Sus scrofa: one gene and its partners. The protein of the gene in region 1 interacts with the protein of each later gene in a pairwise test. Links are inferred from orthologs where the notes say so. Each region holds a gene or a part of one and is shown in the gene's direction. Other genes may lie near its edges. The genes, in order: EXOC1, SH3BP5, SRGAP2, TRIO, CCDC88A, KIF5A and TRIM9.

Region 1 (3,394 bases):
TTACCCCATTATACAGGTGAAGCAACTGAAAGTCAGAACAGAGTTGGCACTGGCAGGTAGCAGAGCTGGGCATGGACTAGATTTTGGCTTTTCCATTTTACCAGACCCTTCCATTCCTTACCTCTTAAATGGCTAACCTGCGTGCCTAGTTCGCATCAAGATAAGAGGAAAACCAAAAGTTGGTTTGTTCATTACCTTTTCTTTTCTCTTCATTTCTTGTCATTCCTCAGAGCAAGTCTGATCAGAACAAGTAAGAAGTGATGATTTAGAGAACTTTGCAATGTAGTAGAATCTAAATGGCCCCTTCTCACTGACTTTTAGCCAAAGTATGATTAGTCATCTTCTACAGGTTTTCAGTTTGAACTTAGAGTCAAATAAAAATGATGTATCTGTTGTCAGCAATTCAAAGAAATACTTAAAAGACATTTAATTAAATATAGAGCCAATTCCTTATAAAACTTAAGAACAGAAAGATACTCCTTTAGGGTAAAAGGTATGTCCCAGACTTAAAGCCTACATGATACTTCACTGCAACAGAGAGACACGCCCTTTGAAATCAAATTTAAAGCGGAAACATTGGTAGATCTTTTATTATTTAACATTGATATGGAAGCTCTAACAGATGCAGTAAGACCTGAAACATAACAATATAGAAAGGAGAGGCAGAATTATAATTACCTCTATATAATATGTTGAAATTATTTAGTCTGGTAAAGTGGTAGGGTTCAAAATAAATATATCAAAAAGACAATCTACTTCCTGTATGTTTTAATAACGAATTAAAAGTCTTTGTAGGAGTTCCCGTCGTGGCTCAATGGTTAACAAATCCAACTAGGAACCATGAGGTTGCGGGTTCAATCCCTGGCCTCACTCAGTGGGTTAAGGATCCGGTGTTGCCGTTAGCTGTGGTGTAGGTCGCAGATGTGGCTTGGATCCTGCGTTGCTGTGGCTGTGGTATATGCCGGCAGCTATAGCTCCAATTAGACCCCTAGCCTAGGAACCTCCATATGCCGTGGGTACAGCCCTGGAAAAGAAAAAAAAAAAGTCTTTGTAGAAACAAATTTTTAAAAGCACCAGGAATAGGCTTGTCCAAAAAATTACTGTCAAATAATTAATAATTTAATGAGGAATAAATAAATAATAATTGCTAAGAAAATTTTAGAGAAAAATAATGAGAGGGGATTTAATACTTGTCAGTATTAAATCATATTGTGCTCAAATGAAGGCTTGCCAATCACTGTGCATATTGAAAACCCAATTATACTAGAAGACATCTGAGAAGAATATTTCTAACAATACAACAGTCAGTATATTTAATATAAAAGATCTTTTTAAAATCAATTAAAAAAGCACTAAGATCCCAATATATAAATAAGCAAGGGTTTGGAATGTACTACTACTAAGCATATGAAAAGCAGGTTGACTTCATTTATAGCCAAAGAATTGTAAAATGTAGTGACAGGTAAACCTCTTTCACTTTTTAAAATGGCAAAGGTTTTTTTAATTATGATAATGCTGATGATGGTGAGATAACAGTCTCATACGCTATTGACAGAAATAAAAATTGATTGAACTTTTCTGGGAAGCAATTTGTGTAATATGAAGAATCTTCAGAATTCTTACAATTATACTACTCAGGAATTATACTCCTAGAAATTTATACTGGATAGTAATCAATAATGTGGGTAAATACCTATGTATGAAAGTTATTTATGGCAACTAAACTTATAGTATTATGACTTTTTTTTTTCAGGCCACACCCACAGCACATGGAGGTTCCTTGGCTAGGAGTCAAATCAGAGCTGCAGCTGCCAGCCTACACCACAGCCACAGCAACGCCAGATCTGAGCCACATCTGCTAACTACACCACAGCTCACTGCAGCACTGGATCCTTAACCCACTGAGCAAGGCCAGGGATCGAACCCGCAACCTCAAGGTTCCTAGTCAGATTCCTTTCCACTGCACCATGATGGGAACTCCAATAATAAACTTTTTTTTAACAAGTAGATTTTGCCACCTCCAAGGGAAAAAAAGTGAAAAATATTAAGTACCTAATACTGTAGGAATGAATAAACAAACTGTAGTTCAGTAATTGGATGGAATATTTATGCAGCCATTAAACTTTCTTCATTGGAAAAAACCTATAAAATATTGAATGGGAAATACAACATGCAAATTTACAATCTCATTTATGTACTCACACATCAAAAGACCAAAAGGAAACCTAAAATGTTAACAGTGATTATCTCTGAGAGGTATGATAATAGCTGATGGTTGTTGTATCCTTTTTTTTTTTTTTTTTTTTTTTGTCTTTTTGCCTTTTCTAGGGCCGCTCCTGTGGCATATGGAGGTTCCCAGGCTAGGAGTCTAATCAGAGCTGTAGCCACCGGCCTACACCCAGCCACAGCAACACAGGATCCGAGCCGCATCTGCAACCTACACCACAGCTCATGGCAACACTGGATCCTTAACCCACTGAGCAAGGCCAGGGATCAAACCTGCAACCTCATGGTTCCTGGTCAGATTTGTTAACCACTGCGCCACGACAGGAACTCCGGTTGTTGTATCCTTTATATTTTCACACTTGTCCGATTTTTACACAGTGAATAGATACTACTTTATAACCAGATTTTGTTTTTAAATTGACGTGACAATGACAGCAGTTCTTAGCCACTTCCTTTTCATTCCTTGCAGCATTTCTTTGAAGGTGTTGAAGCTCGGGTAGCACAGGGTATAAGAGAGGAGGAAGTAAGCTATCAGCTTGCATTTAACAAGCAGGAGCTCCGGAAAGTTATCAGAGAGTATCCTGGGAAGGAGGTGAAAAAAGGCCTGGACAACCTCTACAAGAAGGTCGATAAGCACCTGTGCGAAGAGGAGAACCTACTGCAGGTATGCTTCGGTCGTCTGACCATCCTAGATGCACAGCCGCACACAATTGCTTTTTTCTGTAATAGTCCTCTAGAAAGGCTGGACATTTTCTAATGTTAGCACGAGGAAAGTTCCCTAATGTACAGAGCAGATCGATGAGTTGTGAGGCCAAAAGGATTAATATTTATACAAGTTTATGTGACTATTCCTGTTTATTTTACATTTGTTTTATTGTTTCGAGGCACAGTTTTTCTTTTGTTTGGGGTGGAGTATTTTTGTTGCTTTTTTGTCTTGTTTCTGTTTTGAGGGTAGAAAGGAAATTGAACTGGCAGGTGGTACAGTGGAGTGGTTCTGAGCATGGGGGTCGGGCTTGGAAATGGGTTCATAATCTGGCTCCAGATAAAGCTGCAGGACTGGGGGCAACTTACTTAACCTTTCTGAGCCTCGGTTTCTTTATTTGAGAAGTAGAAATAACACTCGCCTGTACAGCAGGCACTCCTCTTGTTGTCGTTGTTTTACACCTGA
Region 2 (4,211 bases), on another chromosome or scaffold:
GGGTGGATGGACCGGCAGCCTCGCTCACTGAGCCTCCTGCTCTCTCTGAGCAGCAGCTGAAGAAGACAGTGGATGAGCTGCAGGCCAAGCTGGCCCTGGCGAAGGGCGAGTACAAGACGGCCCTGAGGAACCTGGAGACCATCTCGGATGAGATCCATGAGCGGCGGCGCTCCAGTGCCATGGGGCCCCGCGGCCGTGGCGTCGGCGCTGAGGGGGGCAGCACAGCCACTGAGGACCTGTCAGGGGGCAAGCCCGAGCCCGATGCTGTTTCTGGTGAGTTGGGGGTGCATGTGGCCTGCTCCTGCTCTTCTCTCCCCCACCCCCTTCCCACCCTGTTTTGGGACACTAGTCACCAAGATGCTGCTGTGTATCTGCAGAATCAGGATTCTGTGGTCATGTTTGGAAAATGTCACACTCTCATCCCCAAGTAATATGAGGGCATTCCAGGCTCTGAGAAGTCCTGCAGGGATGAAGAGTTGTCTGGAATAGGGACTTTGGAATCCGATTTGATTCGAGTCCTGGCCTTTGCACCATGACTAGTACGTGATGCGGGCAAGCATGTAACTTCTATCTCTTTCTTCCCCAGTAAAGCAGGGCACATGATAGTCCCTGATGTCCACTGTGTAGAGCAGTGGTCAGGTTTAATTGAAGGAGTGCCAGCCCCCAATGGACAATGCATGTGGTGTCTGGCCACCCCTGGGAAACTGACTCAGAGAGTTGCTTCGGCTCCCCCTATGTCAATCCAGAACCCCCGCTCCCTCCCCCAGTGCCGCCTCCGGGACCTTTTTTTGCCCCTTCTGTGGAGTGATGGCTCTTGCCACCTTCCTCAGGTGGGCTTTAATTCAGCCAACAGATGTTCACGCGTCAGGCCCCAGGTAAAAGAAGGAATTATAATTTGAGCATCAGTGATGTGAGCACATTAGTGCTCACCATCTCGTAAACCTGTGAGGAGAGGAACATGAACCTGAGAGAGGTTCAGTAACTTGACTGAGGCTACAGAGCATATAGCGGAGAAAGGATTTGCTCTCAGATCTGAGCCCACTGTCTGTGCCCAGCATCACAGTCCTTCTCATGGGCGCCAGTCCTCCATGGGATGCCACAGGTCGTTTTTAAAGCTGAGGGAGGAGGACAAGGGCGTGGGATGGCATGTGGGCTGAGGAGTAAATAGTTTAAGGCCGAGGCAGCTTTTAAACCACCAGAATCTCTGGGCCTTGCTTATTCTGGTCCACAAAACGAGTAAGGCACAAGCTACAGAGCAACATAAAGGTATTGTGGGCTTGTTTTTGTTTTTGTTTTGTGGCAAATGGTGATCTCTGTGGGCTCTAAGCATGTCTTTTATGGGATCACAAGTTACTTGGAGGGAGACAGAGGTCCCAGCAGACATTCCGCACAGAGCTGTCTCGTCCAGCAGCTCCTGCTGCTCCCACAGAACGGAGGAAGATTCCTCAAGTCTGGCTGGCTTTGTTTAGGATGCATTGGGCAGGCCAGCCCTCTTCCTGTGCTCTTGGGGATCTATCTTGGGGACTGGGGTGAAGAAAAGCCCCGTATCTTTGGCTGAATTCACCTTCCATCATGAGGCAGGGTCTGGTGACGGTGACTTCCAAGGCAGGGGCTGTAAAGTGACGGGAAGGATACTGACCAGCCACGGGGCCCAGCGGCTTCTCTTCAGGGTGCTCCAGAGCCTGGCCACTCGAGTACAGGCGAGCCACGTCCCTTTCATCAGGTGCCCACAGTGGCCGGGTCCTGCAGTTCCCAGCCCCTGCCCAGCTCCTCCAGCAGTGGACACATCTGGAGGTGTGTAGGGGCCGGGCTGCTGTCCTTCAGACCTGTGTGACGACTGTCCCCTCTCATCCTAGTGGCCTCCGAGGCCTTCGAAGATGACAACTGCAGCACCTTCGTGTCTGAAGATGACTCGGAAACCCAGTCTGTGTCCAGCTTCAGCTCAGGACCCACAAGTCCGTCCGAGGTGCCTGACCGGTGCCCTGTGGCCGTGAGGCCGGGCAGCCTGGACCTGCCCAGCCCTGTGTCCCTGTCGGAGTTCGGGATGATGTTCCCGGTGCTGGGACCTCGCAGCGAGTGCAGTGGGGCCTCCTCTCCTGAGTGCGAGGTGGAGCGAGGTGAGTGCCCGTCCTGGATGCCGGGGTGCTGGGGACGTGCTGGGGTGGGGACAGAGATGGTTCCCAGCTCCGTGCCTGACCAGGATCAGCGTCCTTCTGCCTCTCATCACAATAGTCCTCTTGACAAGCACCTGCTAGAGAGGTCTGTTTCCCAGCTGTCACAGGGGTGTGACAGATTTCATCTCTAAAGATGAGGGATATACGGAGTTTCTCGAGAAACACAGGCAGTGAGACGTTAACGCGATGGAGGGGCTTCTGTGACAGGCTCGGTGGAGCAGCACTGGGAGAGTCTGGGTTGAGCCGGCTGACGGGCTTGGTACTCACGCCTTGATCTTTACGTTTCTACAGGAGACAGGGCAGAAGGGGCAGAAAATAAAACGAGTGACAAAGCCGGCAGTCATCGGGGTCTCGGCAGCAGCGGCGGTGACAACGGCAAGAGCCCGAGTGGCCCGTCCGAGGCCCGGGCCTTGGAGGACAGGATGCGGCAGCTGTCCCTGCAGGGCTCCAAGGGCAGAGACGAGGTCCTCGTGGACATGAGCATGGTGCAGGTCGGCTGATCCAGCCGTGGCTCTGGCCTAAGCACACAGCGATATTTATACACGAAACTGTACGGAGAGCGTTGTGCCAATAATCCTTTGATGTATGCCAAATCCTAGCATTTCCTCTAAACTGCACTAAGAACGTTTCAGTGACCTTGAGGGCAGAAGATGTTTCTTCTGGGTGACAGCTCTTGGGCTGGAGCGTTTTTCAGCGCAGAGGTGTCGTTGCAGGTGGGCTGTGAGCAGGCCCACAGCCTTTGTAGGACGTTCCTTGTCACCGTGTCATGGAAGCAATAACTGGTCCCTGGGAAAGACCCCGAGTCAGGAAAGGGGATGGGAAACCGAGCCCGGCCAGGGTCATCTGGGAAAATGACCTGTTTTCTCCTTTAGATCCCTTGGGATCTAAAGGAAAAAAATACATGAGACAAAACTCAACACCTTTTTGACCCAGTGAAAGCTTTCCAAAAAAAAAAAAAAAAAATCCGAGAACACAGTTCATGTTCATTATCTCTGATTTATGGAGGGGGATTTTAGAAGAGTATATTTGGTGGGACACCCATTAAAATCATTTTCTATATAAGCTTACCATGAGCTGCACTTTTTGGGGGTGGGAAAGGTGAATGCTGGTCTGGGGAGGGGGACAAGGGCAGCAGGGGCCTGTCACAGAAGGGGGTTCGTGGCTGTTGGGGAGAAGGTTCTGTAGCATAAACCTCATCCCATCAGCCAAGGGGACTTATTCTAAGAGAAGTTGCATGTGAGGAATGGTTGCCAGTGTTCTAGATCGACAAGGTGTTAATTTCTCCATAGGTTGTAACTTTAACAATAAATTATGATGCACTAGTATTTCTTAGAGGAAACTGTTCCTTCCAGCTAGGAAAGGGAGTAGGCATGTGTTGGCAAAGGCTGTTAAATAGAAGCAGTGGCGTCTGTTATGCTAATAGTATGTTATGTGACTGCTGTTCTTGTTTTCATGGTTACATGCATTTAGAGCTTTGTATTTCATTTGTCCTTTTCTGTTAAAACTTCGATTTTTAAAAGAAAAAAAAGCAACCCCATTCAAGTTGTCCATTAATTCTGTCAGCTTATATATCTGTCATTTGTAAATCTCTTCATACTATCGTGTTTTCTCCTTTTTTAATGATTGATACAGTATCCTAATTATGAGGTTATTTTGTACTTGTCTTAATACCTTGAGTGTAATAAAAATGGCTTAAGAAAATGTCTAACTTTCTTTGACTTCCATCAGAAATCCTGATGTTGCCTAAATCTTCTGTTCCTAGGCAACCTTCTTGCCATAATGAAGAGCATGGAATGCAATGGCCATTTGTTCTTTTATTCACTTAGGGTCCTGGATCCTAATAACTTAAGCCCTGATTACCAGGTTTGAACTAGAATTCCACTTCACTACTAAAGCCGAGTAATGCGGAGATGCACTGACAGGAAAGCAAAGATGAGGTGCTCAAGCTGGAGGCCTCTGAGTCTCCTAGGCCTCAGCCCTAGAGGCTGAGTAAGTGACTCCAATACACTTGGGCACTGGACTTTGAGAAGCTCCCCA
Region 3 (4,460 bases), on another chromosome or scaffold:
TCACCCACCTTTCCCCTCCCCACTGGATTGTACGTCATTTCATCTGTAAAGAAGTCAGTGATATGTCTAAAACCTGAGGACTATTTGGAAAGCATCTCAACCACACTATCTCAAGAGGAAAAAAAAAAACCCTCATGAGAATGAAAGTCCCTTTGCCCCCCTTCCCTCCTGTTCCGAACAGCCATGTGTTCAAAGATTGGGGCCGAAAGAAAGCATCTGGACATCTCTTTCCAGTTGGTTTCTCCATGATTTGGCCCAGGTTGTTGAAATAGCGCCCCCCGCCCGCCCGCCCCAGGGGGTGGGGGGGCCTCTCCCCGCGCGAGCCTCACTCCCTCCCTTCTCCTGTCCCCAGGATATTGAAGCGACCATGAACTCTGCCCTGAACGAGCTGCGGGAGCTAGAGCGGCAGAGCAGCGTCAAGCACACCCCGGATGTGGTCCTGGATACCTTGGAGCCCCTCAAGACCTCCCCCGTGGTGGCCCCCACGTCAGAGCCCTCCAGCCCCCTGCACACCCAGCTCCTCAAGGACCCCGAGCCGGCCTTCCAGCGCAGCGCCAGCACCGCTGGGGACATCGCCTGCGCCTTCCGGCCCGTCAAGTCCGTCAAGATGGCGGCCCCGGTCAAGCCGCCAGCCACGCGACCCAAGCCCGCTGTCTTCCCCAAAACAAATGCCACTAGCCCCGGTGTCAACTCCTCGGCCTCCCCACAGTCCAATGACAAGTCTTGTACTGTCTGAGGGGTGTAATTTAATTGTTCTAGACAAGGGGACTGGAGGGACTGACTGTTATTAAAATCTTCCTATTTAACTAGCTTGGGGACTTCAGTTGAAAATTAGATTCTAAGTTGTTCTTGCAGGATTTAGCCTTCCCGTCACCCCAAACCTTGCGAACGGAGCCCTCGTTCTCGCTCTGCCCTCCCCCTCCCTTCCCTCTGCCCTCTGCTTCCCCCAGTCGTTGTAATCCAGCCAGTACATACTGTTCTTAGGTTAGCCAGAGATAAATTTTTCCATTATCAGGTCACTGTGAAATCTGGCGAGGCAAGTCAGGGGGCAGTGGGCTGAAGCCTCCGTCCCCGCAGATACAGGGGATGCCTAACCAGATGATTGGCTGGGGACAGCCAGCTCTCAGTGGCATCTTGTTTTGGGTACTGATTATAGAGAATCATATACAGTCCATTCTCCGTTTTACACACACACACACACACAAACACACACACGTAGATTTTTCTAGTCTCTGGCATGTGTAGCCTCCTGGTCCTAGATAGACCAGTCTCTTTGTAAGTTATTGTGGCAGTTCACACAGGAGCCACCAGGGGTCTCTGTTTCCGTTACAAATCTTGTTCTGTCTGGGCCAGAGAACCTAGCCTTTGAAATCTCTCCATCATTTGAAATTTAGCAGGATGGGACTCAATCCTGCAATCTGTTTGGGGTTGGGGGCTTCCTCTCTGTCTTATTTCTATCGGTGTGAATTGGTCATTGGTGTTTGCTTTTGCTCTCCTCCATTCTCTAGAACTGCAACCCAATCCTACTATGGAACTTCTGAGGTTTTTCTGAATGTATAGACATTTCTTGGGTTTCTATCTTCGTCTCTGATGGACCATTTTCCACTTAAGACATTTTCCTGTATAAGACAATTTTATAGTTGGTTCCTTTTAGGGTGAAGAGTCTTAAGAGAGTTTTATTGTGTTTATGGCAGGCTTGGAAATGGTAAGAAATGGGTCCTCTTCCTTCCACTTTTTTGGGTACTTAAGACATAAAATTCATTATCCTATTAAAAATTAAATGCAGCTTTTCTAACCTTAAAATTGTTCCCAGATGAAAATCTACTCTCAGTGGATCCCCTCATTGGGTTAATCTACAGGGTCTCTCTTCAGGGACCAGTGGGGGCTTAGGGAGCCCTAGTTAGATTAAAGAGAGACATCGCCCCTTAGAATTGGTTTATTTATCCAGACAAGGACAACTAAGAGAACTTTGGCCCCATGGGCTCTAAAGTCTTTCCAAGGACTGAATCGAAGAAAATTAAAAATTGGATGCTGAATATTTGGGCCTTCCTTTGGCCTTTTTTTCTGGGTCCTCTGCCAAAAGCAAAAATGACACCTTGACTGCTTTAATTCCCTCTCCAGATCTGAAGCCCATGGTCCCAGCTCTCCTAGCATCATGCGGTCCCAGGAGGTCCAGGGCTGGGACCACTCACACCCCAGGCTGCTGGGTCTCGGATAACTACTTGAGTTAAAAACTGAAATGCATTCCTCTTCTCTGTTTTCTGGTTTTAAAGCTGTGCTTTTTGCCTTATTTTCCGCAGTTCAGGAAAATAGTGGGTTGCCATTCGGATAGGAAACTGAATTTTCTTATCTTTGGCCTAGAAGATCCTTTTTTGGACCAACATTGGGAAGTTGGTAGTTGGCTCTGTGGAACACAGTAGAATTTTCCCCATTCTGTGCAAAGGAAAAGAGGAGCATGGTGGGAAGTCACTGGTTAGAAGAGTAGGCTGCAACACCAGGAAAACCATCCCAAGAGCTAAGAGGGGGAGATGAAGAACGCCTTCAGTGAGTCGGCCTGTGAGAGGCAACCCACGGTCCTCTGGATTCTTGACTTTTGTTGCTCTGTTGAGTGCCTGTCCTTGTCTGTCACCTGGACTTACACAGGTCCTGAGCCAACAGGGGGCTTTCATCCCCAGGGATCTGTTTCCTTGCCGACAATGAAACCCCACCCTTCATCTGACATTCCTTTTGCTCCAACTAGTCAAAATGGGTGCCCATAGCTGCCCTTCTGCCCTTGCTCCAGCTCATCCTTCTTTGAGAAAGGAAAGGCAGGGCTTCCTTAGGGACGCCACCTTGGGTCTGTTCTGTTGCTCTGCCTCATTTCTCTTGCAGCCCTGAACCTGACTTGTGTTCACCGTCCCCTTGGTCAGGGTCCGTCTGCTGATGTGCATCACGAACTGGACAGTGTGTGCGTGGTCACCTGCTACCCCCCGATCTGGGAGTCGAGCTGTCTTCCCACCTCTGGTGCTCCTGCCACCTGTGAGAGGGTCCCGTCCAGGGGACTAGGAACCCCAGGAGGAGAGTCCTTCCTCGGCAGAGCTCATTGCCATCAACTGGAATCGAGGTTGCACACTGTGATTTTTACACCGAAAAGCCAAACGGAGCTGGCCCCCCAGGGCCTAGGGAGACCAGTCTTCCTCCGATATGCTTGCCTAAACCAGCATGATGCTTCAGAGAGCCCCTCTCTGCCCCTGGAGGCGTGGATTCTCTTCCTGATGTGGACTCTGATGGGTTGGTCTTTGGGAGACAGAGGTGGGGTGGGGCTTCCAGCATCCCAGTTTGGAAAAGAGAGGAGTTTGCAGCCAGCAGCCTGGAAACTGGAAACACTGGTCTCAGCCAACCTCCTCAGGGCACACCCTGGTTTCTCCCCAAAGAGTTGAGGAGAGATGACGCCAGCAACAGGAGGAACCGACCACTGGAAGGGCTGGTGTACATGTACTTCATGTTCAGAAGAGAAGTTAGATCTTCCAGGGAATTGCAATGTTGTGGCGTCTGGCTTGTATGTCACGTTTGTGTAAAATGGTATATTCTTTAAAATAGTGTTGATAACTGGAATATTGTATGTATGCTTGGAGATGCTTTGTGTGAACCTAAGACTGTCACTCAACAGATGTTGGATTGGGGAAAATCCAAAGCACAACTTCGAAATAAAATACGTTTTTAGGTTTCCATGCTGCAGTTTATATCCCTTCTCCTCTCCCTGGAATCGCCAATCCAGGAGTCCCGCTGCCCAGGAGGGATTTTGATTTGTCCGTGGTAATGGAGCCCTGCCCAGCAACAGAAGGAGAGATGGGGTGACCTCAGGAGCCAACCATCTCCTCCCTCCCCCAGCAAGACACAGCAGAGGTGCATTTAGAATGTGGATTCCTCACACACACCCCCCACCAACATTTTCATTTAGCCCATGTGGGGAACCTAAGAGATTGTGTAGCAAGTCTTCCTGCTCACCATTGGGCGGCCTGTTGCCATGGGAACCATTTCCTCCACTGAATCCACCTCTCCCCGCTCAGGGAGGACTGTTCTCATTTCTGTCTCTAAGTCAGATTTCCCCACTTGCAAGAGTGGAGCCTGCGAAGTTGCTTGGAAGCTTTGCCAGCCACAACCAAGGGGGACTGATGATTTTCTTTCTTCCACGACCAAGGCCGTGGGTGATTCTGCCCTGGGCAGCCCCCAGCTTCTGGAGGAAGAGCTTCGCCATGTGTTTGTGCTGCTCGCTGTTGTTGAGTACGGGCGTGGGGTGGAGCATAGGGAATGCTTTCTCTCCTCTGGATTTTGATTCCAGCAGACTCTTAAGTTTGAGAGTGGGGAGTTCCCATTGTGGCTCAGTGGTTAACAAATCCAGCTAGGAACCAGCTAGGTTGCAGGTTCGATCCCTGCCCTCGCTCAGTGGGTTAAGGAGCCGGCGCTGCCATGAGCTGTGG
Region 4 (4,211 bases), on another chromosome or scaffold:
GCAGGTTTTAGATTGCAAAAGTTGCCTCTTATTTCTTCCTCTCACTGTTTCTTATGTGGTAGGTAACCTGTCAAGGGGAATTGCCAGTGTTTTAGATGAATCCCAATGCCTTAAAGAAATGCCCTGGAGGCCTGGGAAGACCACTGGAGGCTTAGGATGGGCCTCGGAAACCATCTGTAGAGCTCTTGAGTATTTCATTTAAAAAGAACTGCTGCCCTACCTGATGCCACCCCCCGGGAGGGCCAGCAGCGGCCTCCTTCCTCCTTGTCTGCTTCCTTGAAGTTGTCTGCGGTCACGGCCAAGAAGGTGTGCCTAACCCACATCCCAGGTCCTTCTTCCTCCTTTAATGGGCACCTTCTAGAAAGTTCTGCTGAGAGCAAGAGTGGAGTGATTGTGGATCAACCCAGACAGTGACTGTGCCAGCCCCACCCGTGGACACACGGCCTCCCTGCACCCACCCACACACCCGGGCAGCAATAAAAGTACAGCCCACCTTTCTTGCAGAGGCCCGGTGGCCTGTGCAAATTTTTAACCTCTACCCACTGGCATTAAATGAGAGATTTTTTAAATGCCTAAGACCGGTACATAGGAGGTTTCCAGAAACTACCAATAGCTGCTATTATTGTGGCAAAATATTCAAATTATGAGACTGATTTTCTTTATTATATATATGCTATATTACCCAAAACAGCCATGCCACAGCCGTTGGTTTTTGTTTATGTTTTCTAGCAAATGTGGCTTTATAGTCTCAAAACTATTGGGTGTTGCTCTATAGTCACAATACTAAAATACATGCTAAAGGGGTAAAATTGCATGAATGAGCGTGCAAAGCCTGACGTGGGCAGCGTGGGCACCCACAAGGGGTGGGAACACACACCAGAGTCCTCAGCTGGCACAGGAACAAGCACCAGCACTCCACTGTATTTAACTTCAACATCCACTGTAGGCCCAGAGTCCCAGCCCGGGCCCCTGCAATTCCCAGCACTCGGGCTCTTTGACGGTGGCTGGCCATCTGCTCCAGTGTGTCCTGATGCCAACTCAGTAGCTCAGAGCTGACAGGAGTGTAGCAAGCCTCCTGACAGTCACACCAACAACCCAAGTCTTGCCCCAGGCGTCTGAGAGCCCAGAGGAGGCTAGTGTCCTGGGAGTACTGGGAATCTGCGAACGTCCAGGCGTCTTCGCTGAGAGCCTCTGAGAACAAGCTGACAGGAACAGGGTGCCTGACGCCATTTCCACATCCCGGCAATTGAGAAGGGGGACCGGGCAGGATGTAACTCAGAATTGGCAGTGGTCTCAGCTTCCTCCTCCTCCTCTGGAACAAGGGGGTCCATCGGTGAACGACAGCTTGGGACAAGTACTATCATTTGTATGTCATTGCCTCAGCCGCTATCACCACTCAGCTTGTGGGCCTGGTAGGTGGCCTTGAGAAATGATGATTGTTTTAATTTTGCAATCTTTCCTCATTGACTGAGTTCCTGAACAGGCAGTGAGTGCCTGCTACATTTCATTCCCTGTGATGGACACTAAAGACACAGCAGTGACCCACGGAGATCGGGTGGCACCGTGACCCCAGGATAAGGGCAAGATAGGCTTTCTCATGCCAGGGCTGCCCCCATGCAGCAGCACCTTCGCGACTCTGGAATCACACAGGCTCACAAGAGGGCCTTCCACCAAGGAACACGTGAAGGAGGCAGAGCAGGTCCCTGAGAGCAGAGCAGTAGTTTATTGATGTTTCAGCGATCGCTCATTCTTCTTCTACAAGGCAAACATGTGGAAATAAATTAGGATGCCAGCAGCTCAACGTGATTCTGGCATCTGCGTTCTCAATGAACATTTTATCTGGCAGATTTGGGGACTTCTCCATGATCTGACCTATCATCGGTGGACTGAAAGAGCTACTCTCTGCGGCTTTTTAATTTAATGATACCTTTTAACATGGGAGAGATGGTCACATTGACATTACTGCGACATGGATAGAACCCAGCATGGGCATGGTGCCAGTGTGAGGATGAGCTGTTGCTTTTGCTGGTGCGTGGATGATGAGACCGAAATAATCATGCTTCCAAAGTAAAGTGTCACCATCACCATGATTGTTTGGTTTTTTGTTTTTTGTTTTTTTTTTTTTCTAGATTGCTACTAAATTGCTTCCTAGAGAAATCCTGATTTGTCAGTTATGGAAAAAGGGGCACCAAGTTAGCCAGAGAGTGTGGAGGAAGGGTGCAGGGTTCTGGTGAGCCCTGCCCTGGGCCGCCATGCCATGGCACAGGCTGCCAAGCAGTTTCCTGTCATCAGATCTTGTTTCAGTTCCCCTCTGCCTTTTTGTTCATCTCTCCCTCTACAGAGTGAAAGTAGCAGCAGTAGCAACATCTCCACCATGTTGGTGACACACGATTACACGGCAGTGAAGGAGGATGAGATAAACGTCTATCAAGGAGAGGTCGTTCAAATTCTGGCCAGCAATCAACAGAACATGTTTCTGGTGTTCCGAGCCGCCACTGACCAGTGCCCCGCAGCTGAGGGCTGGATTCCGGGCTTCGTCCTGGGGCACACCAGTGCAGTCATTGTGGAGAACCCCGATGGGACTCTCAAGTGAGTGCCCACTGGGGCCACCATGCGGGGCGGGGGCCGAGCCCAAATGAAGTGCAGAGGCTCTGGAGGGTAAAGCCTGTCAAACAAGCTTGTCCATAAGTACATGGTGAGTCCCTTAGTGAAGATGAGGTAGCCTTCCATCTGTTTGTTCTGAGGGGTTCTTTTAATAAGAGAAAAGTATTTGCACACATGTGGCTTTTTTAAGCTACTAGATAGAGGCCAACGATATTTTAGTTCCCAGAGGTTTGGGGGTGAAGGGTGAGGACTTTACAAGGCCCCCACACCCCTGATTGGGCGTCATGAGGGTGCGTCCATGAAGATGCTCATTCCGTAAGCGGCAGCCAAAGATAGATGTGGTGCCACTACCATTATGCTTTATACCTACTAGGTCACTTCAGTTGAAACACTTGAAACGAACTTTGCTGCCTTAGACATTATTTTAAAGAAAACTAAGTTCAGGTGCTGGTTTCAAACTCTGCCCTTCCCTGAATCTCTCTGGCTATGGGAGAAGCCAGCCGATGGCTCCTGGGAATGGACCATTGCAAAATGGTGATCTTTAAGCCTCCAAAAGCTTCAGCCCCAAAAACCAGGCTCAAAGGCATGACAGTGGCTGTGTTCCTCCCCAAGCACGGCAGTATACTGGGCTGGGTTTGCAGCCCAGACTGGGCAGCATTCCAGCACTGCTTCTAGCCCACTATCTCTGGGCTCAGAGCTTGCACCCATGGGCATCCAGGCTTGAGTTCAGGCTACAAAGGTCTTATCTTCCATGATAGTCCTTTTTTCTGTTCCTCCTTAATACAGGAACTATTTTATTCTTATACATTGTACAAGAATCCCATTTTATACTTTGTTTTCTCAAGAATATTCTTTGGCCTTGTATTAGAGTTTTCCAGAGAAATAGAACCAATAGGGTGTGGGGAGGGGGCAGGGGAAGGGTGGGGGGTTGGGTTATTATAACAATTTGGCTCATTCAATTGTGCAGACTGACAAGTCCAGATCTGCACTGTGGACTAGCAGTCTGGAGCTCCAAGAGAGCCAGTGGTGCAGATAAAGTCTAAAGGTAGCCTGTAGGAAAATTCTCTCTTGCTCAGGGAGGCCAGTCTTTTGTTGTTGTTATTCCACTGAGGCCTTCAACTGATTGGTTGAGGCCCACCACACCGTGGAGGGCAGTCTGCTTTACTCTATCAACTAAAATGTCACTCTCATCCAGAAACACCCAGAATGATGTTTGACCAAATATTGAGGTCCAGTCAAGTTGATGCATAAAAGTAAACCATCACAGACACTTTTCTATTTTAATCCTTAAAATTTGGTAGAAGAACTGTTGGCTTTATCTCTGGTTATTGAGTTATGGCAAAAAAGTTTTCCTTAGCAGAGATAACTATTGCTAAAGGAGTATCAGTCAGCTTCTCGCTGATGTTTTCAGGCATCATCTGCTGACCACTGGGAGGGCAGAATACTAACAATGGGTCATTTCCCCCTAGGAAGTCAACATCTTGGCACACAGCACTCCGTTTAAGGAAAAAATCTGAGAAAAAAGATAAAGACGGCAAACGGGAAGGCAAGTTAGAGAACGGTTATCGCAAGTCCCGGGAAGGCCTCAGCAACAAGGTATCTGTGAA
Region 5 (4,211 bases), on another chromosome or scaffold:
CCTCCTTATGACACAGGTGCAGCCCTGAAAAGACAAAAAAAAAAAATTGGTGTGAAATTCCCTAGTGGCTCAGCAGATTAATGATCCGGTGTTGTCTCTGCTATGGCTCAGGTCATTGCTGTGGCACAAGTTTGATCCCATGCAAGAGCACAGCCAAAAAAAAAAAAAAATTCAAGGTATTTTTTGCCTCCAAGGTGAAGTTTTTATGTAAATGTCTGGAAGCATTGACTAATTAATACCTTTTTCTTTAAAGGTATACTTCCTACTCAGGAATTATTTAATAGATTTAAAAAGTTTGTTAAGGAGTTCCCGTCGTGGCACAGTGGTTAACGAATCCGACTAGGAACCATGAGGTTGTGGGTTCGGTCCCTGCCCTTGCTCAGTGGGTTAACGATCCGGCGTTGCCGTGAGCTGTGGTGTAGGTTGCAGACACGGCTCGGATCCCGCGTTGCTGTGGCTCTGGTGTAGGCTAGTGGCTACAGCTCCGATTGGACCCCTAGCCTGGGAACCTCCATATGCCGTGGAAGCGGCCCAAGAAATAGGAAAAAGACAAAAAAAAAAAAAGTTTGTTAAAGTGGTTTTTCTCTACAGTCCGGAATTTTTAAATTATAATGAGTGCATTTGTCCTATTGCTTTTTCGTATTTATAACATTTTATTTCAGTTGTAATTTTATTTTATTAATGCTCTGTTGCAGTGAACAGGAAAATCCGATTTCAAGGAAAGATTATTTTTTGTCTTTATGGTTATGTTCTTGGGGCTCCCTTTGTGGCACAGTAGAAACGAATCTGACTAGCATCCATGAGGATGCAGGTTCAATCCCTGGCCCCACTCAATGGGTTAAGGATCCAGCATTGCCATGAGGCATGGTATAGGTGGCAGATGTGGCTGAGATCCCATGTTGCTGTAGTTGTGGTGTAGGCCAGCAGCTGTAGCTCCAATTCGACCCCCAGCCTGGGAACTTCTCTATGCTGCAGGTGCAGCCCTAAAAAAAATATATAAAATCATGTTCTTGTATCCTGTTAAAAAATATAGTCTGAAAATGTGAAGAAGTCTTCTCTGATTTGAAAATTTGAGAAAATCTCTTTTCTATAAAATGTCACATAGCTTGAGCCAAAATCTTTCATGACCCACTTTATTCTCTGTGATTAGGAAACCATGGAAAGTTGCATTTTCTTTTTTTACTTTTTTCTTTTTCTTTTTTTTTTATTTATTTTTTTCCCACTGTACAGCAAGGGGATCAAGTTATCCTTACATGTATACATTTTTCCCCCACCCTTTGTTCTGTTGCAATATGAGTATCTAGACATAGCTCTCAATGCTACTCAGCAGGATCTCCTTGTAAAAAGTTGCATTTTCTATCTGATGCTGTATCCGTACAGTTTGCAATTGATCAAAATGAATAAGCATTCTTAAGGAATAGCATAAACTTTAGGAAGCTTTTTCCCAGAACTAGTAGTTTGCATTTTGTATAGTAGTTCAACCTCAACTGAATCTTGAGGCTCTATAGACACCATGCCAAGAGTGGAAAGCAAGAAGAATCAGATAGTCCAGATATTCATTTAGGATGAACAGAGAAGCCTTCAAATAAGGAATAAAGACCTCACAGAAAATCAGAAAATGGGAGTTCCCAGGTGGCCTACTGGTTAAGGATCTGGCATTGTCACTGCTATGGCTTGGGTCACTGCTATGGTGTGGGTTCCATCTTCTGGCCTGGGAAGTTCTGCATACATGGGTATGGCCAATAAAAAGAAGAAAGTCAAAAATTACAATTTTTTAATGGAGTTCCTCTTGTGGCTCAGTGGGTTCAGAACCCTGTATAGTGTCTGTGAGGATGCGGGTTAGATCCTTGGCCTCTCTCAGTGAGTTGAGGATCCACCATTGCTGCAATATACATTATAGGTCACAGATGCGGCTCAGATCCCATGTTGCCGTGGCTGTGGCATAGGCCCGTAACTGCAGCTCTGATTCAGCCCCTAGCCCAGGAATTTCCATATGCCAAAGGTGCAGCCACTAAAAAAAATAAATAAAATTTTTAAAAAAGAATTTTTAGCATTTCAAGAGAGTTTTTGATTTTAACATTCTCAAATAATTTAAAATTCATGTAATCATGTTTTGTTCTAAATTGTGAGGCCTTTTACAATTATTTGAACTTGAATTTTTTAAAATGTCTTATTCACTTATTCATTCATTCGCTTTCTTATCAGATGTATTGAGTGCCTGCTTTGTATGGTTAGGCTCTGGGTATGGTGGTGAAGGCAAGTCTGCCCTTGAAGCAGGCTCTGGTGAACAGTTGTTAGACTAATGAAAGATTAACATGGTTTACTAAGCATGTCTAAAGAAAGCTGTCAAAGTCAGTTTGACTGTTCACAAGAATCCAGTCAACAAATGTCAGTACTTACATAGTTTTAATCTCAGTTCAGTTATTGAACTCTTAACATACCATTTACTCCAAAAGCAGGTGCAGTTAATATCCAAAGCAGGCCACAAAGCCACAGCAGTGGAGAATTTAGCCTGCTTCATGAGCATGAAGCCTGGTCCAGCAGTGGTAGCAGTCCAATCCAGTACTTGAAAAGACAAACCAGATCAAGTCCAGTGCTCCAGCACAAAACACTAGAGAGTCGAGCACATCGCAAGATCAAAAGTGGTTCCCCTGGAAGTGAAGTTGTTACTCTACAACAGTTTTTGGAAGAAAGCAACAAGCTTACCTCAATACAGGTGAGTTTTATCTATGGTAACCCTAATTTAGATGGACGCTACAAGTTAAATTTCTGTGGTTGAACTTTAGAGCCTTTTTTTAAGTTAAGGAGTGTTTAGGGACATTAGCAGTTTTTTATTGTACAGGCTCCTCTATCAGGGAATTAAAAAAGCATGGCTGTATTCTCTAATCTGCTCTGATTTTTTTTTTTAATAGATAAAGCCCTCAAGTCAAGAGAATCTTTTAGATGAAGTAATGAAAAGTTTGTCTGTATCTTCTGACTTTTTGGGAAAAAACAAACCAGTTAGCTGTGGTCTGGCCAGGTCAGTAAGTGGAAAAACTCCTGGAGACTTCTATGACAGACGGACAACTAAGCCTGAACAGTTTGTGAGACCTGGTCCTCAAAAGACTGAAGATACCTATTTCATTAGTTCTTCAGGAAAGTCTACACTAGGCACTCAAGGAAAGATAAAGTTAGTAAAAGAAACTTCTCTGTCACGACAATCAAAAGATAGTAATCCTTATGCCACTTTACCTCGTGCAAGCAGTGTGATCTCTACTGCCGAAGGAACTACTCGAAGGACAAGTATCCATGATTTTTTGACAAAAGACAGTAGACTACCTATGTCAGTTGATTCACCACCAGCTACTGCTGATAGCAGCATCACTGCAGCATCTAGTGAGTACCATTTATACCCGTGGTCCTCTCATACACTTCACGGTCCAGCATATCCTGTAGGCTCTCAAGCACAAAATAATTTAGGTACAGACAAGCCCAAGTCTCCATATGCCCAGACCAGAAACTTAAGAGCAGAAAAGTCATATTTTCTAAACCAAACTTTTGCCACTAGTAATATGTTTAATGATGCACTTGGAATATCAGCTAAAGACAGCTTAGAGTCCTTTACTGTGGCTTATCCATCTCAGCCATTTTTATCTCTAAATACAGAATTAGTCAGTAACATAAGTGGGTTGCCTCCCAGATCAGTCACCAGAGTAATTGACCAGGCTTCTGCTTCTTTGGATAAAGCTGTACGGAAAAATAACGAGCAGTTTTATGATAGTCAGAACTGTAGTAATAGTAACTCACAGTCTTCTGTAGATAGCAGTGATCTTATCACTCCTGCATGTCCCTATCCTAAGGACACAGAAACCGCATTGTTGGTTTCTGAGGATAATCAAACTGTTTGGTATGAGTATGGTTGTGTATGATAAAAATTGCACAAAATGTGTATGATGTCATTTCATATGCACTATGCTTCTCTAATCTGATTGGAAGAGCTGCTGTTGGAAAGTAACATTTGGCTAGATTTATATTTTTAAATTGTGGCATAGTGTTCAGATGTATATTGTGGCATGTATATAAATGAGACTGTGTAACCACAAGAAAGCTTGCATGAAATATTAACTGCATTGTACATTTTCTGCATGATTTTAAAAACCTTAACAATACAAGCTCCTCTTTCACATTTCTTGTCACCTAGTAAGAGATTGTTATTTTGATACCTAGAAGAA
Region 6 (3,019 bases), on another chromosome or scaffold:
GGGGAACCGCTCCATCCCTGAGGGTGAGTGTGGATTAGTGAGCCTCAGAGCAGTGGAAGGTGGGTGCCAGAGGTGGCGTCTCTCTCCCCTGCTCCACCCAGCTTTGCAAACTCCTGTAGCAGCAGTGGGGCCACATCTTCTGGCGGCCCCTTGACTTCCTACCAGAAGGTCAACATGGACAATGGTGAGTGAAAAAGACAGGTAAGCAGCCTGTGGGATCCCCAGGGAAGGTTGAAAAGTACCAGAAAAATAAGTGACCCTGTACCTACAGCTCAAACGCTGGGTAGCCCTTCAGGGTCTTGGACTCTTAGAAGTGGATTCCTCCAGTCACCTGCCTGTCCCCACCCTTCCCCTCCCTTCCCCTTCTCTCCTCAGTGACAGCTCTGGAGGCTTTTTTTCCAACCGAATAAGGAGGCAGCATGGGGTAGTTGAAGACAGTGCCACAGACCCAGATGACACCTATGATCCCAAGACTCTTAGCTTTTTCGCCAAGGGATCAGGAGGAGAGAGGGTTTGGGGTGACTGGTTATAACACCCAGTCTCTTTTTTTCCTTCTTTCAATCCTGTGTTCTCCATGACGATCATCTCTTCAGGAAACACCACAGATATTAATGACAATAGGTACACCAGTCCCCATTTCTCTTGGGTTCTCTGGGTGGGACCAGAAGAAAGGGTTAAATTTCACTCGTGCCTACGTAGAGGTTCCCTGGAGCCTTTGAGGGAAGGAGGAGGAAGTGAGAACCATCGGTCCCTCTTGCCATCACCCTGCTGTCCAGGAGGTCTGGTCATTCTGCTGCCTCAGTGCAGAGCACTGTCCCCTCCTCCAGTCCCCCCATAGCTCCTCCCCATCCTCCCCATAGCTTCTCCCCCCATAGCTCCTCCCCATCCCAGCCATGGAGGCTGCGGGAAGTGCCATGGGCATCTGATGACCTGGGTTTATCTCTGCCTTTGGGGACTTTGTCACCTTGGGCAAGTTGGCTCCATCTCTCTGGCCTTGATTTCTCCCCCTGCCCCCCATATTGCTGCCCTTCGTTATCTCACAGGGATGCTGAGAGAGCAAAGTGACAGGAATGCTATGGTTGATACAGAGCTGACAATGCTGTGATTGTGCTGGGTCTCTTCTTCCAGGAGTGACCTGCCATGCGGCTATGAGGCTGAGGACCAGGCCAAGCTGTTCCCTCTCCACCAAGAGACGGCAGCCAGCTAATCTCCCACATGGACTGCTGCGTACCTGCACTTTCAGGTAGTTTCAGGCCCCTTCTCTGACCAGCCTCGGGTTGCCTCCTTTCTTGCCCACAGCTTCTGTTTCTCTCGCTTTTTAAAATCATCTCAAATTTTTTACTATATAGTTGTCCCTCAACTCCTGCTGTCCCTTCCCGGGGGGGTTCCATCAGAGCCACCCCATGTCCTTTGCACGCTGGCTTCCTTCCCCTCCCCCCTTAGCTTGACCACTGTTGTAGTCACAGTACTGCCTTTGGCCACTAGGGGTCACTGCAACATGTCAAAAGAAGTGGGCAAGGGCAGGGTCCATCTAGAGCCCCAAACACAGATCACAGCAGGATGTAGGAGCTATTAGGAGACCTTGGGAGATCATCTCAACCATCCCTCTGCCTCCACCCTAAAATGATTTTGGATGGCAAGTACTTTCTGAATTAAGACATCTCCAGTAAAGGTGATGTTTGACTTACTCCTACCCCTGTGTCCTATATTCCTCATGTCTGTATATGTCACCAATAAGCATTAGAAAATGCCCCAGGAAGTCTAACTTTTTGTCCCTCTAACTGCAGGGTCAGCACTCCCCTCCCATCTTGCCAGTGGAGGTAGAAAAGAGCTGTGTGCCCACCTCCAAGCCCCCTTCTCTGCCTCTGTCCCAGGTCCTATCCCCCATCCTCTGTGCTCTCCCTGCAGTGTATACCTTCCTTCCTGGTTCTCCTGTGTCACCAGGCTTCTCACCAGGGTTGCTTTAGGGCTCAGAATCCCAGAATCCTGGGCAATGGGATCCTGTTTATTGTCCACTGTGGATCCTTGGCGAATGAGAAACAAGAGAACACAGCCAGTCTCCCCCTGGACTGCATCCCAAGCCCAGCCCTCTCCAGGGGTTTCCCAGAATAATAGGCCAGGCACACATGGGCAGAAAGGCATGAGAAGCAATCAGTAGGAGTGGGGGAGGAAGAGTTCAGGAAGGCCTGGGGGTGGAGGAGCAGGGGCTGGGAGGGTGGCGTCTGGTTTTGGGTATCAAAGGGACAGGACTGTAAGCCGAAGTTGGTACAGATGCCACACTGTTCCCGTTCAGCAGCTGGGCTGCAAGGTGGTTCCTCACAATGTCTTTCTCTTTCTTCCCCAGTTTCTAAGAGGGACTGAGGCCTCTTCTCTCAGCATGCTGCAAACCTGTGGTCTCTGATACTAACTCCCTCCTCAACCCTTGTTGTTTGACTGTACTACGTTTGATGTCTTCTCTTACTCTGTATCTCTTTGTACTCTGTATCTATATATCAAAAGCTGCTGCTATGTCTCTCCCTTCTCTCTGTCTTACTCTCTAGTATCTAATGATGTATTTAGCAATTTCTAAGCATAGTATACCCTCCTCATTTGGGGCCATAGGGAGGAGGGTCAATGTTTCTTTCTCTCATATATGCGTCTCTCACACTGAGTGGTGTTAGTCAAAGAGATGATAAAAGGAAAATGGGAGCTAGAGGGCTGTGATCCTTCACACACACACACACACACACACACACACACACACACACACACACACACATGCACACACAAAGCCTTAAGCAGAAGAATGTCTTGGCGTCATAAGAAGATACAGAAATAGATTCTTCCTCCCTTCTCTCTCACATTTAGCACAGGGGAGGGTAAAATGGAAGGACTGCTAAATATATGGAGAATTGTCTTCAGACGTCCCTCACCCGAATGGAGGGATTCCGGGTGTGCACCTCTGCCCTCCGAAGTCTGCCTTTTGCCTCCCTCCTCCCGTTCCCCCTGGACAACCCAGAACATGGATTACTTAAGGGAC
Region 7 (4,746 bases), on another chromosome or scaffold:
AGGTGAAGAGTGTCAATATGGGTGTTCATTGTACTAGTCTTTAAACTTTTTAAAAGAAAAAATTAGAGGACTCTAAATTCTGATTTCTCATTCTGGCCCCCTTTTCCTAATCTGGCTTCCTGAAAGCAATTTTCTTGTTGCCATTATGTTATTACTGTGTATGTTTGTTGGATAAATTAGACACATCTTCAAGAACTAGAAAAATACTTTAATGATTGAAAACCAAAATAAATACATCTCATTACAAAAACGAAACGAAACAAAAAAACCCAATCAGTTCCACCGGCAAGGGGCAGCAATGTTTGGGGAGAGGGAGAAGCATGCTTAGTATATGAAGACTAACACTAGAACTAGTCCCCCCCCCATCACCATCATCGCCACACACTTTCCCTGAAGAAATGGAAAGAAACCATCATCCTGGAAGCTGTGGTAGATGCTCGGGCCACATAACATTGAATAAGTCTATTTGGAGACACATGAGACTTCACAGTGACACAACGTTTCGTGTCCAGAACTAGTTTTCTAAACTATAGGCACTCAGGCAACCCATTTCTGCCTCAGTTGAACCAAAGGTTCTGCTGGCCTTGTGAAAGCTCAGCCAGGCACTGCCTGAGATTTGGGCGCTGCGGGGGGTGGGGAGTGGTTGTAACTGAGAGGGGGCAGGGGACCTAGAAACGTTCACACCAAACAGTAAGCAGCCTCAAGGGCCGAGCCTGAATTGAAAGCGTGAAATGAAGGGGGCAAAGCTTTTAACTAATATACCAAACCTTTACACCCATGACCTAGTTTAAATCTCATGGCAACATTAGGTAGTCGATATTATAAATCACCTTTGAGACAGCAAAAAAACAGGGTGAAAGAAGCGAAGAGACTCCCTCAGGGGCTCGCGGCCGGCGCCGTCAGACTACGGGATGCGGCAGCGCCAGGGGCGGGCTTTCTCGGATTCCTGAGGGGGAGAAACGCCCGGCTGCAGTACAGAAACCTAGGCCTGGGTGAGGCGGTGCCAGCAGCGGAAAAAGGAGGGTCCCCTGCGAGGCGCAGTGCCAACCGAGGGGAGGTCGGCGCGGAGACCAGAGCTGCAAACCAAACAAACCAAACGCAGACGCTAGCGGCAAGCACCAGCCCCTCCGCCAGCCCCCTCGCTGCGGGGAGGGGTTTCTCACGCCCCGCTCTCGGGTGACTGCGCCGGAGGTCGGAAGGAAGCGAGGCGAGGGATGAGTCATCCCGCCTAATTCCTCTTTCCCGGTCCCCTCGCCTCCGCGCGCCGGCCCCCTCCCGAGATCTTGAAGCCGGGAGCGAAGATTCCCCACATCCTCAGAGTCCTCCACCAAACCCCCTGTGGCCTGCGGAGGAGAGAGAAGGACGGGCCTTGTGGCCAATGAGAACTTTGCTCTCTCGCCCGCCGTCCAATAGGCCGCTGTTTATAAGCTGGGGCGGGACTAGGAGGATAGGAGGGGGCGGCCCCAGGTTGGCGCGCGCCGCTGCTGTTCTGTGGCTCACAGAGAGAGCGCCTCACCAGGAGTCGGCGCCTAGGCGACACGGAAAGGCGCCACTGCCACAGCCGCCGCTGCTGGCCAAGGTGCTGGACAAGACAGGCCCGTCGGCCACTCGTCAGCTCAGGCGCCGGTTGCAGCCGCCGCTGCTTCGCTCCCAGCCCAGTCCCCATGGAAGAGATGGAAGAAGAATTAAAATGCCCCGTGTGTGGCTCCTTCTACCGGGAGCCCATCATACTGCCCTGCTCTCACAATATATGTCAGGCGTGCGCCCGCAACATCCTGGTGCAGACCCCGGAGTCGGAGTCCCCTCAAAGCCGACGGGCCTCGGGCTCCGGGGTCTCCGACTATGACTATCTAGACCTGGACAAGATGAGCCTGTACAGCGAGGCGGACAGCGGCTATGGCTCCTACGGGGGTTTCGCCAGCGCCCCCACTACCCCGTGCCAGAAGTCCCCCAACGGCGTTCGAGTGTTTCCCCCAGCTATGCCGCCACCGGCCACCCACCTGTCACCGGCCTTGGCCCCGGTGCCCCGCAACTCCTGTATCACCTGCCCCCAGTGCCACCGCAGCCTCATCCTGGATGACCGGGGACTCCGCGGCTTTCCCAAGAACCGCGTCCTGGAAGGGGTAATTGACCGCTACCAGCAGAGCAAAGCGGCGGCCCTTAAGTGCCAGCTCTGCGAGAAGGCGCCCAAGGAGGCCACCGTCATGTGCGAACAGTGCGATGTCTTCTACTGTGATCCGTGCCGCCTGCGCTGCCACCCACCCCGGGGGCCCCTAGCCAAGCACCGCCTGGTGCCCCCGGCCCAAGGCCGGGTGAGCCGGCGGCTGAGCCCGCGAAAGGTCTCCACCTGTACAGACCACGAGCTGGAGAACCACAGCATGTACTGCGTGCAGTGCAAGATGCCCGTGTGCTACCAGTGCTTAGAGGAAGGCAAGCACTCCAGCCACGAAGTCAAGGCATTGGGGGCCATGTGGAAACTGCACAAGGTGAGTCCTAAGAAAACCCATCCCTAACTCCCCGCACCTCTGATCTTCTGGTTTCGCACTGTCCTTTGGCGCACAGTGCATACCAGCGGGGGCGCAATGCAGGTGCCTCAAATACCTGCTTCCCCTGCCTTGCGCATTGCAGGAGGCGCAGAGGGACCTTACACGGCGCACAGGGGAGTGGAACCTCTCTAGAGACTTGTTTCGGGGGTGCGTAGAGCGGGTCTCCCGGGGCGCGCTGCCTGCGAGCCGGGTGCAGGTCGCCCACTCCCGGAGCTGACCGGCAGCTCTAGGCCGCCACCAGCGTGCGGGAAAACGATGCATAACTGGGCCAACCCGCGGCTATGCTTGGGGCTGCCAGGGACGCTCCAGGGCAGAGGTGGTTGTGGGGCTCCAGCCGTGATCCCCCAGGGAGAAGATGGGGGCGGCTGAGCAGGCAGACCACTGGGAGCTGGAGCTCCTGGATAGGCTGACGCCTGGAGTCGCGGTGGGGGTGGGGAAAAGAGCCACGAACAGAATACTGATACGTCGGCGCTGGCCGAGACCCCGCGTCCGGTCTGTAAAGGATGCGGGTCAGGGTGCTTTGCGCGCAGAAGGCTTATGAGTGGGGAGTGGGTTGAAGGAAAAAAAAAAAAATCCTGTAGTCGCCATGACAACGCGGCCTGAAGGCTGCGGCCCTGACCCTTGCAGAGGGAATCTATCTGGGCGGGAGTAGCAGGACTGGAGGTTTCTGCACGGTCGCGACCTGAAAGCTAGGCAGGTGCATCTCACAATCCCCAGCTATCCCCCTCCTACTGATCACCCACACACCCATTTGTCCAGGATTCAACCCTTTCCTTTTGTCAGTAGTTGTCTGTGTAACTTTGAGACTGCTGTTAACAAATTTATCTCTTACCTCTTTTGATGTCACCTCTGCCAAAGCTAGCTTCAAGAACAGGGCCTTTAACAACTTAAGTCATGCCACTACTCTTTTCACAATCCTCCAATTGTCCCCCACTTTTCCTAGACGGCCCTTAGATGATACACCAGGGCCTTACATGATCTGCTCCAGTTTGTTCTCATCAAATTCGTTTCCTCACATTCCCTCTGCTTCAGCCACCCTGTCCCTCTTGTTCCTCCACCACCACCAGGTCCCTTCTGGCCCCAGGGCCTTTGCATTTGATATTCCTTCAGCCTGAGACCATACCCTGTATCTGAATAGTTCACTCTCTTGCCTCCTTCAGATCATTGCTTAGACTTCACCCTTGCAGTGAGACCTTCTGATCCCCTAGTTCTCTCCCTGTTTTATTTTTCTCAATAGTACTTATCACTAACTAACATGCTGTATATTTTAATTATCAAGTTACTTTTGTATTTATCTATTGCTCCCTCAACCACACACACACACACACACACACACACACTTCATGAGGAAAGAGATCTTTATAATGTTATTGCCCACACTGCTTAGAAGAAGGAAACCACTCTTGAGAAGATGTGCATGAATTTGACTTTTACTTTTTAAATAATCCATTTAGTCGGGGTTGCAAAGGGCAAAGCAGGGGTTCAGGAGGTTTACTTCACATCATTGAGCTGCAAGCCCAAGGATGAGGTAGGGCAGCAGAGATGGTGTTCAGGCCTCAGCTATTCCCCACTCAGTGTCCCACCATTCCTTGGAGACTAGAAAGTTTAGTCTTTGAGAAAGGCCCTGGGCTTAAGTCTTGAATGTTTTATTTACAGCAAGAAAAAATAAATGATCACCATTTTTAGCAATAGGAAAGCTCAACTCAATATTAATTGAAGGTGATCCATGTTTACAGCCTCCCCTATGACCGATTAAGCCACATGAGTACTGATGGAGATTCAATTTAGCACAAATTTGAGCCCCCACCTAAGGCACATGCCACTATTTTTTAAACATTTCAATTTAAATTTTTAAATATTTAATTTTTGAAATTTTAAAAACTTGTTTGTGGACAATTTTTTCTTCATATTATGATTTCGCTCTTAAACTGTTCATTATTACCTATGTTCAAATTGCCCACAAGACTATCCTTGGAATTTTAGAAATTAATCATCCTGTCTAGAAGACTTAGAGGTACAAGCTAATTAGGATGGTCAAACCACAACATTATTCTTCTGTACAGAAGAACCTATACTTTGTCCATTAAGACCAAAGGCAACCTTTAAATCTCTGTCAAGCTCCATGTAGATTTGAAATGTTAAACCATTTGCTTTGTTGGTAATGGATGTAGTGAGTAGACACTGTGGTACAGAGTTGAAA

Evidence for each region.
Region 2: the proteins of EXOC1 (region 1) and SH3BP5 interact in a two-hybrid assay, tested with the Homo sapiens proteins (2 studies listed by BioGRID and IntAct). The link is inferred for Sus scrofa from reciprocal best matches to the Homo sapiens genes EXOC1 and SH3BP5.
Region 3: the proteins of EXOC1 (region 1) and SRGAP2 interact in a two-hybrid assay, tested with the Homo sapiens proteins (2 studies listed by BioGRID and IntAct). The link is inferred for Sus scrofa from reciprocal best matches to the Homo sapiens genes EXOC1 and SRGAP2.
Region 4: the proteins of EXOC1 (region 1) and TRIO interact in a two-hybrid assay, tested with the Homo sapiens proteins (2 studies listed by BioGRID and IntAct). The link is inferred for Sus scrofa from reciprocal best matches to the Homo sapiens genes EXOC1 and TRIO.
Region 5: the proteins of EXOC1 (region 1) and CCDC88A interact in a two-hybrid assay, tested with the Homo sapiens proteins (2 studies listed by BioGRID and IntAct). The link is inferred for Sus scrofa from reciprocal best matches to the Homo sapiens genes EXOC1 and CCDC88A.
Region 6: the proteins of EXOC1 (region 1) and KIF5A interact in a two-hybrid assay, tested with the Homo sapiens proteins (2 studies listed by BioGRID and IntAct). The link is inferred for Sus scrofa from reciprocal best matches to the Homo sapiens genes EXOC1 and KIF5A.
Region 7: the proteins of EXOC1 (region 1) and TRIM9 interact in a two-hybrid assay, tested with the Homo sapiens proteins (2 studies listed by BioGRID and IntAct). The link is inferred for Sus scrofa from reciprocal best matches to the Homo sapiens genes EXOC1 and TRIM9.

The regions. Positions count from the first base shown.
Region 1 is NC_010450.4:55,241,111-55,244,504, forward strand, and holds part of EXOC1 (exocyst complex component 1), read left to right. Parts: intron 1-2,695; coding exon 2,696-2,890; exon of another isoform or gene 2,891-3,394.
Region 2 is NC_010455.5:2,505,061-2,509,271, reverse strand, and holds part of SH3BP5 (SH3 domain-binding protein 5), read left to right. Parts: intron 1-53; coding exon 54-273; intron 274-1,856; coding exon 1,857-2,117; intron 2,118-2,465; coding exon 2,466-2,674; 3' UTR 2,675-4,211. UniProt on the Homo sapiens protein: Functions as a guanine nucleotide exchange factor (GEF) with specificity for RAB11A and RAB25. Inhibits the auto- and transphosphorylation activity of BTK. Plays a negative regulatory role in BTK-related cytoplasmic signaling in B-cells.
Region 3 is NC_010451.4:67,113,608-67,118,067, forward strand, and holds the end of SRGAP2 (SLIT-ROBO Rho GTPase-activating protein 2), read left to right. Parts: intron 1-352; coding exon 353-736; 3' UTR 737-3,708; downstream 3,709-4,460. UniProt on the Homo sapiens protein: Postsynaptic RAC1 GTPase activating protein (GAP) that plays a key role in neuronal morphogenesis and migration mainly during development of the cerebral cortex. Regulates excitatory and inhibitory synapse maturation and density in cortical pyramidal neurons.
Region 4 is NC_010458.4:3,906,920-3,911,130, forward strand, and holds part of TRIO (triple functional domain protein), read left to right. Parts: intron 1-62; coding exon of another isoform or gene 63-95; exon of another isoform or gene 96-2,007; intron 2,008-2,341; coding exon 2,342-2,589; intron 2,590-4,073; coding exon 4,074-4,211. UniProt on the Homo sapiens protein: Guanine nucleotide exchange factor (GEF) for RHOA and RAC1 GTPases. Involved in coordinating actin remodeling, which is necessary for cell migration and growth. Plays a key role in the regulation of neurite outgrowth and lamellipodia formation.
Region 5 is NC_010445.4:85,929,282-85,933,492, forward strand, and holds part of CCDC88A (girdin), read left to right. Parts: intron 1-2,456; coding exon 2,457-2,716; intron 2,717-2,912; coding exon 2,913-3,375; intron 3,376-4,211. UniProt on the Homo sapiens protein: Bifunctional modulator of guanine nucleotide-binding proteins (G proteins). Acts as a non-receptor guanine nucleotide exchange factor which binds to and activates guanine nucleotide-binding protein G(i) alpha subunits.
Region 6 is NC_010447.5:22,847,388-22,850,406, forward strand, and holds part of KIF5A (kinesin heavy chain), read left to right. Parts: intron 1-101; coding exon 102-184; intron 185-593; coding exon 594-621; intron 622-1,128; coding exon 1,129-1,207; coding exon of another isoform or gene 1,208-1,243; intron 1,244-2,344; coding exon of another isoform or gene 2,345-2,351; 3' UTR 2,352-3,019. UniProt on the Homo sapiens protein: Microtubule-dependent motor required for slow axonal transport of neurofilament proteins (NFH, NFM and NFL). Can induce formation of neurite-like membrane protrusions in non-neuronal cells in a ZFYVE27-dependent manner.
Region 7 is NC_010443.5:180,826,978-180,831,723, reverse strand, and holds the start of TRIM9 (E3 ubiquitin-protein ligase TRIM9), read left to right. Parts: upstream 1-1,471; 5' UTR 1,472-1,664; coding exon 1,665-2,486; intron 2,487-4,746. UniProt on the Homo sapiens protein: E3 ubiquitin-protein ligase which ubiquitinates itself in cooperation with an E2 enzyme UBE2D2/UBC4 and serves as a targeting signal for proteasomal degradation.